Callithrix jacchus: one gene and its partners. The protein of the gene in region 3 purifies or fractionates together with the protein of the main gene of each other region. This does not show direct contact. Links are inferred from orthologs where the notes say so. Each region holds a gene or a part of one and is shown on either strand. Other genes may lie near its edges.

Evidence for each region.
Region 1: the proteins of TCTN2 (region 3) and TCTN3 purify together in Homo sapiens (affinity purification with mass spectrometry; 3 studies listed by BioGRID and IntAct, with this or other methods). This does not show direct contact. The link is inferred for Callithrix jacchus from reciprocal best matches to the Homo sapiens genes TCTN2 and TCTN3.
Region 2: the proteins of TCTN2 (region 3) and TMEM231 purify together in Homo sapiens (affinity purification with mass spectrometry; 3 studies listed by BioGRID and IntAct, counting the BioPlex papers as one, with this or other methods). This does not show direct contact. The link is inferred for Callithrix jacchus from reciprocal best matches to the Homo sapiens genes TCTN2 and TMEM231.

What each region holds. Positions count from the first base shown.
Region 1 is NC_133513.1:88,551,797-88,555,449, reverse strand, and holds part of TCTN3 (tectonic-3), read left to right. Parts: intron 1-3,269; coding exon 3,270-3,397; intron 3,398-3,632; coding exon 3,633-3,653.
Region 2 is NC_133521.1:32,962,045-32,965,797, reverse strand, and holds the start of TMEM231 (transmembrane protein 231), read left to right. Parts: upstream 1-1,533; 5' UTR 1,534-1,557; coding exon 1,558-1,696; intron 1,697-1,793; coding exon 1,794-1,963; intron 1,964-3,753. UniProt on the Homo sapiens protein: Transmembrane component of the tectonic-like complex, a complex localized at the transition zone of primary cilia and acting as a barrier that prevents diffusion of transmembrane proteins between the cilia and plasma membranes.
Region 3 is NC_133510.1:126,866,632-126,870,284, forward strand, and holds part of TCTN2 (tectonic-2), read left to right. Parts: intron 1-2,933; coding exon 2,934-3,075; intron 3,076-3,653.

The DNA of each region.
Region 1 (3,653 bases), on a different chromosome or scaffold from region 3:
GGTTATTGCAGTGGCACCTACCTGGTGCTCCCTGCTTTTAATCCCCACTCCTGCCTCTCACACAGTCCTGCACACTCCATCAGGACCAGTGGATCTGAATTTTTCTTACCCAACAACACCTGAGGAATATGACCACTTCCAATAGTAATTATGGTTCATTACATCAATGAACTTTCCCTGAATGAGGCTGGGGAATAGATTCATGTTTAGTATGAAAAAGGCAAAAGCTTCCCTTTGGTTCTGATTATTTGCCTACCTTCCTCACAAATACACACATAGCATGTACACACAGTATACATAGCTATGGAGAATCACTTCACTAGATTCATATTTCCATAACATTGCATTATGTTGCTCTCTTATTCAGAAACCTCCATTACTTCGTACTACCCATAGAATAATAGCCAACTTCTTAGCCTGCCAGCAGATCTCCTATTTGATCCAACTTAGCTTTCCTGGCTCTTTTAGCATTACTCTCCACTCAGCTGAATTCATTTACTCATTAGCCTCAAGATATGCCCTGTATTTTTCCCAAGTTTGTATTTGTTTTTCTTTCTGACTCTATAGTTCCTTTTTCTCTCTGCATTTTGAAATCCCTTTATTTTCCATGAGTGTTTTCTTGCTCATCTACTGGAAGTAAGCCCATCCTCAGAAGTTCTAAAGCATTTATTGTTTGAGTCACCCCCTTGGAACCTGTGGGATTTTTAATATTGTTATTAATTTATGTAAACATCATGACTTTCCAGGAAAATTGTCAACACCTTGAAAGGATGGACCATATCTTTGTTTCCCCATGGTGCTTAGTATCTATTGGTACAGCCAGGCATGGCGGCTCATGCCTGTAATCCCAGCACTTTGGGAGGCCAAGGCAGAAGTATTGCATGCACCCAGGAGTCTGAGACCAATCCTGGCAACATAGTGAGACCCGGTCTTTACAAAAAATAGAAAAATTAGCTGGTTGTGGTGGTGCGTGTCTGTAGTGTCAGCTACTTGGGGAGGCTGAGATGGGAGGATTGCTTGAGCCCAGGAATTTGAGGCTGCAGTGAACTGTGATCATGCTCCTGTATTGCAGCCTGGGCAACAGAGTGAGATCCTGTCTCCAAAATAAAATAAAATTTAAAAATATACATATCTACTGATAATGATCATGAGTAAATTATGTTTTTAGTCAAAGTCTGTACAGTTTTTAGTCAAAGTCTGATGGAGTGGGGAAAAAACAAATCAGAAATAGGAGATCTGCAATCTACTCTCACCTCTGCAAGCTGGCTCTCTGGCCTTTTGCTACTCTTTTACCTCTGAGGAGGTAATGGGATTCACATGGGCTTTGACATCTGAGATTGTAACAATAGAAATCTAAATACCTTTAAGTTGTTTTAGGAGTAATATATTATCTATGATAGTAGAAATTTTAGGCAAAAATTCTACTTAGCCTATATTTACCATCACTACCACCAATATCTTTGCACTGAAGTGAGAGACAAAATGTTAACTTTCTCTGATTCATTTAAGTCCTGAAAAAATAGATATTTTGCCATCTCATTTCACCTTCTTTCTTAGCTTAACTTTAACTTTTACTTCATTTATAGAGATACAAATAACTGCATTTAGTGTAAGGTAAATATCTCTTCCATGTGGTTTGCTGGGTATGAGTTCTGAAGGAAATGTTAAAATAGCACTTGGACTATAATCCCAGCACTTTGGGAGGCCAAGACAGGTGGATTATGAGGTTAGAGTTCAAGACCAGCCTGACCAACATGGTGAAACCCCATCTCTACTAAAAATACAAAAATTAGCCAGGGCTGGTGGCGTGTGCCTGTAATCCCAGCTACTCAGGAGGCTGAGGCAGGAGTATCACTTGAACCCGTGAGGAGGTTAAAGTGAGCCAAGATCATGCCACTGCACTCCAGTCTGGGCAACAGAGTGAGACTCCATCTCAAAAAAAAAAGTTCTTGGAAGCTTTAGAGTTTGAAGATTTCAGATCGGAGGTAGAAAGTGGCCCATAGACGAGCAGCATCAGCATCACCTATTTTAGAGCAGTGCTTTTCAAATTCTAGTATGCATGCATATTACCTGGAGATCTTGTTAACACGGAGATTTTGACTCAGGTCTGGGGAGTGGCCTGAGAGTCTACATTTCTGAGAAGCTCCCAGGTAATACTGGAGCTACTAATCTGTGCACCCCACTTTGAGTAAAAAGGATCTAGGAGATGTGTAGAGTGAGTAGTCTGAAAAGTCCCAGCATTGAGAGTTGCATTTATGCTGTATCAGAAAGCGGAAAAGTCGCATAATTAAGATGTTATCACAGAGGATAAAGGACGGGTTCATTTAACGTGGAATCCTCATTTGCTTTCAATGATGCAGATATTGTAATATCTTTTACTCTGTCCAAATGACCATTAATTATATGAAGAATGAAACTGGCAAGGGGCATGTTTCGCTATGTTATTTTTCAATTTAGCAGATGGAGTAGTAAAGCAGACAATGTGTTGTCAGTCACCTGCCATCCTCTGGGCAGGAGATAGCACCACAGCCTTTCCTACATCTCCCTACTGGTTCTGAAGTGCCATAAAGAGATGACTGCAGGAACTTGGGTAGATTTATACATTGATATCATAGAAATTATAGAATTGTTCCAGAAAATAACGTTTTGAAATATCTAAAATCTTGAATGGAGGAATTATAAGCCTTAAGGAATAAAATGCAACATATCTCAAAACTTGAGAGATGGAAACATTATTAGGACTGGTCAGTTGAAGTTTAGAGGAATCAGGAAGATTTGGGAAGGACAGATCAAATATTGTCTCTAGCTTCACCATGTTCCTATGGAAATAGTGCAATTCTGTTGTATTAGAGACTCATCTGCTATGGGGCAGATATGAGCATTATTGAGCTTCCTATTTTCATCACAAATTGCTGATCATACACATTCTTGGTCATCGGTGACTTGAAACTGATGCATTCATTGACCATATTCTTTAATATTAAAACAATAATTCAGTCAGTAGATTGTGAATAAATTAAGAAGTGATAGAAGTCAGAATTTTTATTTCTGGAGATGGAGTATTGATTGAGAGCCTTCTGGGGAAATGTTCTATAACTTGATCTGGGTAGTTGGTAATATAGTATATAAATTTGTAAAAACTCTTTGAGTTTTCACTTGATTTGCACCTTGTATATTATGCTTCAGTAAAATATAATATTTTAAAAAATTAGTTACTTGGCATGTTTTTCTTTTATCTAAACTTCTTTTCTTTTTAAAAAACATTTTAGCAAAATTAAACTATTTCCAGAAGCTCCAAAAGGTCAATGCAACCAACTTCCAGGGCCTGGCTGCAGAGTTTGGAGGCGAATCATTCACTTCAACATTCCAAACTCAGTCACCACCATCCTTTTACAGAGTGAGCCTGGGGAAGGGGATGGGATTGTTTGGTTTGGTTTTTACTCTAAAGCAGACAACTGACAAGGTATCTTTGCAGTACTACCCTGCAGCTGGCTAAACCATTGTCAGCTCTTTGGAGGGCAGTACTGTCCATGTAATCAAGCCCTTGAGTTAACCTTGTTTCTACTCTTTCTTTTCTGTTGTAGTTTAGTCCAGTCTCACTGTGAACAAAGCTGCTTTTATATTTTACTTAGGCCGGGGACCCCATTCTGACT
Region 2 (3,753 bases), on a different chromosome or scaffold from region 3:
ACTGCCTCCTGGGTTCAAGTGATTCTCCCACCTCAGCCTCCAGAGTAGCTGGGATTACAGGCATCTGCCACCATGCCCAGCTAATTTTTGTATTTTTAGTAGAGATGAGGTTTCACCATGTTGGCCAGGCTGGTCTTGAACTCCAGACCTCAGGTGACCCACCCACCTTGGCCTCCCAAAGTGCTGGGATTACAGGTGTTAGCCACCACGCCCAGCCATTCAGGGCCATTTGATGAAGAACTTGACTGTGGACCATAGATTAAAAAAAAAAAAAAAGTCCTTCTACCATGTTTGAAATATTGGTTGGGGACAGTGAGGGGATAATAAACCAGTGATCTTTTGGGAGGATCATAGCTTCCTGTAAATCTCGTGGCTGAGCTTGTACCCAACACAAGGTTAACGAAGTGCATCAGAGCTTTGTAGTAATTCTACTCTATCCCTCGAAGAGCCAAGGGATTTGTGTTTCCGTGTCTGTCTTGCATTGGAGCATAGTGGAAGCAACAGAAAATTTGGGGGCAAAGGTATCTGGCTTTGGTCTTAGCCCAGGACCAGGTCCAGGACTGTAACTTACTGGACTTCAGTAGGAACCACACTGGGGGTTAACAGATGACATAAAAGCAGATGTTTGTTCTGTGCAGGACACACACGAGGGGAGAAGAAAAGGCACACACACACAATACCTTTAAGTGTAAACAAGCTTTATCCCACATAAATGGCAATGCAGATAAAATAAGCAAATTAATATACTAAGCAGATTGATATAATAAGCAAATTGCAATGGGAAGAGGGGAAGGAAAAAGACATGTAAATATATATATATATTTACACTCACCAGACTAGGGAGGACTTACCACCAGACTGGGAAGCAACAGCCTGGGCTCCAGAGTCAGACATTACACTCACCAGACTATGGAGGATTCACCTCCAGACTGGGAAGCAACGTTGGTGCAGACAAGGAGAGGTCTCAGGAAGCTCTGGCGTGGTCTGGGACCCTAGCTCTTTTGGTAACAAGTTGTTTGGCATGAGACCCAGTCACGAGGGTCCTTCACCACTTGTCTCAACGAACATTAAAAGATCTTGTTTTTGCGGTTGTTTTTCAATACTAACCTAGAGAAATAGATTGAAATAGAGATTTCTCCGAAACTTCGCTGGATGAACACCTCAAGGGGCTCACACAACCTGTACGGGACTTGGTGACCGTTTTGTTCATGTTCAATTGAGTTAAAATTTAATATTTATCTTTTCCTCCACAGTGTTCAAGTCAACTTTTATGGGCATCTTATTTTACACAAAAGTTAACACAGACAACAGCCACGACTCTGGTCCACGAAACATTCTATCGCCGCCCAGCCTTTACGCAAAAGCACTCAGGGCCGAAAGGGGGCCGACCGTTCCCTCGGCGGCCGCCACGCCCGCTAACCCCGCCCCCGTCACGGGTTCCTTTCCGTGCGTCCTTGCTATTGGCTCCTTTCCGGGCGGCTTCGGTTGCCGTGAGACCGAGGCGATGGCAATCAGGAGAAGCCAAACTTGGTCACCCTGTTCGCGGCGTGCCAGCTCATGGCGCTCTACGAGCTCTTCTCTCACCCGGTAGAGCGCAGCTACCGCGCGGGACTCTGCTCCAAAGCCGCGCTGTTCCTGCTGCTGGCCGCGGCGCTCACTTACATCCCGCCGCTGCTGGTGGCCTTCCGGAGCCACGGTGAGTCTGCCCCGGCCGTTGTGCCACGCGGCTCCCCGGGCGCGCTCGGCCGGGGCCGCCCTCCCTGACTGCCTCCCCACCACTCTCTTTAACTCAGGGTTTTGGCTGAAGCGGAGCAGCTACGAGGAGCAGCCGGCCGTGCGCTTCCAGCACCAGGTGCTGCTCGTGGCCCTGCTGGGACCTGAGAGCGGCGGGTTCCTCGCCTGGAGCACGTTCCCCGCCTTCAACCGGCTGCAGGGGGATCGCCTGCGCGTCCCGTTCGTTTCGGTGCGTGGTTCTCGCCTGGGCCTGTGGCAGAGAGGGGTATGGGGTGGGAACAGGGAAGGGAATGGGGATGTGGAGCTAGCGGCCCCGGCCCTGGGGAGCCCAGCTTGGATCCTAAGGACTCGCGAACCCGCAGAGGTGGGACGTTTCATCTCCTAGGGCCTAGGGAATCGATCTTCTGTTTCAGTCAGCTTCTCCCAGACGTCCTCGGCCCCCAGAGAGCCACGCTGTCAGCGTGTGCGCCCTGACACAGTGTCCAGAGGCCTGGGGGCAGCCTGCCTCTGCCCCCGTCACACCTGCAGGCCTGGCCTGATGGAAGATGTTTGTGAAAGTCCTTTTAGGAGCCTTGAAGGCCGCGCACTGTTAATGTAGGTAACCCAAAGGTGTCGCGGCGTTTGCATCACAGCACTGTAGGAACGGAAAGGGCGACATTTTTATGCTGAGCCCTGGAAACCAAGGAGCTTATTGGTTAAGCGGCCTTCCAGAACGAGCTCTGGCCGAGTCACGCCCCGTGGGCTTGTCCTCTTAGAGACTGCGCCGTCTGGCAGCTGTCTGGGATGAAATTGAAGCATCTTACTGTCTGTAATTTATTTATTTTAAACTTTTTTCATCAGCAGAGTGCTCAGAGGAAACTGTAATTTAGTATTTGCTTTGAGAGATTATAAAGAAATGCTTCCTTTATGATGACTCCTTTTCACTGATTTTCCGAAAACATTTTCCTTTAGAAGTATGAAACTTCTGGTTTTCCTTCTTCCAAAGCTGAATCTCTTCAGATATCTCTAAGATGATTGTCCTACAAGCCAAACATGTATAGCTGAGGAAAAAAGAAAATCAGACTTGTTCCCAGCAACTAAATAAAATTTTTAAAAATTTATTTAGTTAAAAATAATGGCAAAAAACCCCGCAGTTACTTTTGCACCAACCTAATATGATTCGGGTTAGTTTTCTCCCATTACTTTATAAATGTTCTTATGTTCTGATTACAAAAGCACATGCTCATTCTAAAATATTACAGAGTTACAGGTAGACATAATAGAAATTGAAGGCATATATATATATATATATCAATACTTATCAATCAGCCTTATTCTTTTTGAGGTCTCCACAGCATTTCACGTCATGAAACAGCAGTACTGTATTTAACCAGTTCCCTGTTGCTGGATATTTGGCTTACTTTGACTTTTCCACTATTAGGGACAATATTTTTTTCTTTTCTTTTTTTTTTTTTTGAGACAGAATATTGCTCTGTCGCCAAGGCTGGAGTGTAGTGGCATAATCTCCACTCACTGCAACCTCGGCCTCCTGGATTCAAGCAATTCTCGTGCCTCAGCCTCCCGAGTAGCTGGGATTACAGGTGTGCACCACCATGTCCAGCTAATTTTTGGATTTTTTGTAGAGAAGGGGTTTCACCATGCTGGCCAGGCTGGTTTCAAACTACTGACCTCAGGCGATCCACCCACCTCAGTCTCCCAAAGTGCTGGGATTACGTGTGTGCGCCACCATATCCAGCCTAGGGGCAATATTTCAGTGAACAAGGTTTTGACTAGATCTTATGCTTTTAAATGTGAAATTGTGAGGAACTGGAATAGCAGCTCTTTGATGAAATTGTATAAGTACATAGAAAACTAAGCAAATCATAACTGCAGAGAATTGAAAAGTAAGGAACAGTGATAGCAGAAAAGTCACCAGAGTTGTGAATAGGATTTACATAGTCTTAATTATATGAGCACTGAATGTTGACTGACCAAAAACAGATTTTAACTCTACTGGCGGTAATGAGAAAGGTATTGAGT
Region 3 (3,653 bases):
TATTTCTCTTTAAAATCTTTTTTTTTAACATTCTTGGAGTATATAAAATCTTTTTTTTTTTTTTTTTTTTGAGACGGAGTTTTGCTCTTGTTACCCTGGCTGGAGTGCAATGGCGCGATCTCGGCGCACCACAACCTCCCACCTCCTGGGTTCAGGCAATTCTCCTGCCTCAGCCTCCTGAGTAGCTGGGATTACAGGCACGCGCCACCATGCCCAGCTAATTTTTTGTATTTTTAGTAGAGACGGGGTTTCACCATGTTGACCAGGATGGTCTCGATCTCTTGACCTTGTGATCCACCCGCCTCGGCCTCCCAAAGTGCTGGGATTACAGGCTTGAGCCACTGCGCCCAGCCATAAAATCTCTTTTTAAGTTACTTATTTTTCTCTTTTGTAGCTTTTAGGGACTTAACTATTTATGTTCTCCGGATTAATAAAACATATAGTCATTCTTAAATTAATCAATATCTGCTTAAAACTTAGAGTGAACTTAACAATATAAAACTAAAAGGTTTTCTATAAGTTTCCATGGAAGTGACTATCATTTTTTTTGGTTTGAGACGTAGTCTTGCTCCATGACCTAGGGTAGAGTGCACTGGCATGGTCTGGACTCACTACAGCCCTGACCTCCCGCATTCAAATGATCCTCCCTACCTTAACCTCCCAAGTAGCTGAGACTACAGGCGTGCGCCACCATTCCTGGCTAATTTTTTTGAACAAATGGGGTTTTTCCATGTTGTCCAGGCTGGTCTCTAACTCCTGGGCTAAAGTGATTTGCCCACTTTGGCCTCCCAACATGCTAGGATTACAGCATGAGCCACCGCACCCAGCCAACATTTTTTTTGTACAGATGGGGGTTTCACTGTGTTGCACAGGCCTCGAAATCCTTCTGCCTTGGCCTCCCAGTGTGTTGAGATTACAGCGTGAGCCTCAGTGCCTGGCTGTAAGTAACTATCATTCTTTATTTCTTTTTTTTAAAAACCTATTTTAGGTTCGGGGGTACATGTGCAGGTTTGTTATGTAGGTGAACTTGTGTCATGGAGTTTTGTTGTGCAGATTATTTTGTCACTCAAGCCAAGTACCCAATATATTTTTTTTCTGATCCTCTCCCTCCTCCTACCTACTACCCTCAAGTAGGCTCCAGTATAAAAAACAATGGTTAGATAAATACATCATTTTATTTGTCATTGAAATTTTGAAAAACATTTAAGGCTCTAAGGTTTTATATGAAATCATTTATGTATGTATGAATGAATGAGTGACAGGATCTTGCTCTGTCGTCTAGGCTGGAGTGCAGTGGTGCAGTCACAGCTCACTGTAGCCTCCATCTCGTGGGCTCAAGCAATCCTCCCACCTCAGCCTCCCAAGTAGCTGGGACTACAGGTGCATGCCACCATGCCTGGCTAATTTTGTATTTATTTATTATTATTTTTTTAAGATGGAGTCTTTTCTGTTGCCTAAGCTGAAGTGCAATGGCGCAATCTCGGCTCACTGGAACCTCCGTTTCCTGGATTCAAGTGATTCTCCTGCCTCAGCCTCCTGAGTAGCTGGGATTACAGGCACACACCACCATGACTGGCTAATTTTTGATTTTTAGTAGTGACAAGGTTTCACCATGTTGGTCAGGCTGGTCTTGAACTCCTGACCTCAGGTGATCCACCCACCTTGGCCTTCCAAAGTGCTGGGATTATAGATGTGGGCCACTGCACCCAGCCTCTGCCTGGCTAATTTTTTACTTTTTGTAGAGACAGGGTCTCACTATGTTGTCCAGGTTGGTCTTGAACTCCTGAGTTCAAATGATCCTCCTACTACAGCCTTCCAAAGTGTTGGGATTACAGGTGTGAGCCACTGCTCCTGACCTGAAATCTTTTCTTTTCTTTTTTTTTTGAGATGGAGTTTTGTTCTTGTTACCCAGGCTAGAGTGCAGGGGCGTGAGCGATCTCAGCTCACTGCAACCTCTGCCTTCTGGTTTCAAGCGATTCTCCTGCCTCAGCTGAGAATCCCGAGTAGCTGAGATTACAGGCACCGTCCACCATGCTCTGGCTAATTTTTGTATTTTTAGTAGAGATGAGGTTTTACCATGTTGGCCAGGCTGGTTTTGAACTCCTGATCTCGTGATCTGCTTGCCTTGGCCTCCCAAAGTGCTGGGATTACAGGCTTGAGCCACCATGCCTGGCCCTGAAATCTTTGTTAAGTTCAACATTATGAGGAGTGATATTTGGGAGAAGAAAGCGTGGAAAGTGAAACAGTTTCTCTTTCCTGTTCATATGGATCCATTTTTATGGTACTAAACTCTGGTGGTGATGAGGGAGAGAATGTGAGGGTGAGTGAACAGAACAGGACAAGGGATTTTCTTTTTCTTTCTTTCTTTTTTTATTTTATTTTATTTTTTTATTATTATTTTTTTGACACAGAGTCTCACTCTGTCTCCCAGGCTGGAGTGCAGTGGCATGATCTCGGCTCACTGCAACCTCTGTCTCCCGGGTTCAAGTGATTCTCCTGCCTCAGCCTCCCAAGTAGCTGGAACCACAGGCATGTGCCACCATGCCTGGCTAATTTTTTGTATTTTCGGTACAGATGGGGTTTCACTCTGTTAGCCAGGATGGTCTCAGTCTCCTGATCTTGTGATCCGCCTTCCTCGGCCTCCCAAAGTGCTGGGACTACAGGTGTGAGCCACTGTATCTGGCCTCTTTGTTTTTATTAGATAATATTTGCTGTGACTCCACAACCAACGGCTTCCAGACCTTGATGGGCAAATCGTTGAATCAGTTGGCTGTTTTGCTAAAGCTGGTCAACTAGTCAGTGAACTTGCCATTGCTGAAACCAGACCAGCAATGGGAGCAGGCTGCAGAAAGAACAATGTTAAGGGACGCTGATCTATTTTGTATGATTAGGAGAGAGGCCGTAAATCTGTTGGCTTTGCCCTTCACCCTCAGGTGTCCCTGGCTGGGCAGTGTATGCAGGACGCTCCAGTGGCATTTCTTCACAATTTTGATGTTAAATGCGTTACTAATTTGGAAGCATACCAAGAACGAGATGGTATTATCAATGCGAAGATCAAGAATGTTGCCTTGGGAGGTATGTTTTATTTCTTTGAAAAAAAGAACACAGACCCAAGCATGAAGATAAACTATGATCTCATGAGAGTATAAATCATTTTTACTGGTTCAACTTCAAATAATATTGTAACTGCCAATTGTTTAGTTCCATAAGACAGCATGTTGCATATTAAATATTTTGAAATTGGAGTAAAATTCAAATGACATAAAATTAACCTTTTTGTTTGTTTGATTTGAGACGGAGTCTCGCTCCATCGTGCAGGTTGGAGTGCAGTGGCGCAATCTCGGCTCACTGCATCCTCTGCCTCCTGAGTTCAAGCGATTCTTCTGCCTCAGCCTCCCGAGTAGCTGGGACTACAGGTGCCTGCCACCATGCCTGGGTAATTTTTGTATTTTTATTATAGATGGGGTTTCACCATGTTGGCCAGGCTGGTCTTGAACTCCTGACCTCAGGTGATCCGCCCTCCTAGCCCTCCCAAAGTGCTGGGTTTACAGATGTGAGCCACTGTGCCCCACCAGAACGAACCATTTTAAAGTGTACCATTCGGTGACATTTAGGACCTTCCACAGTGTTATGCCACCATTACCTTTTTATAG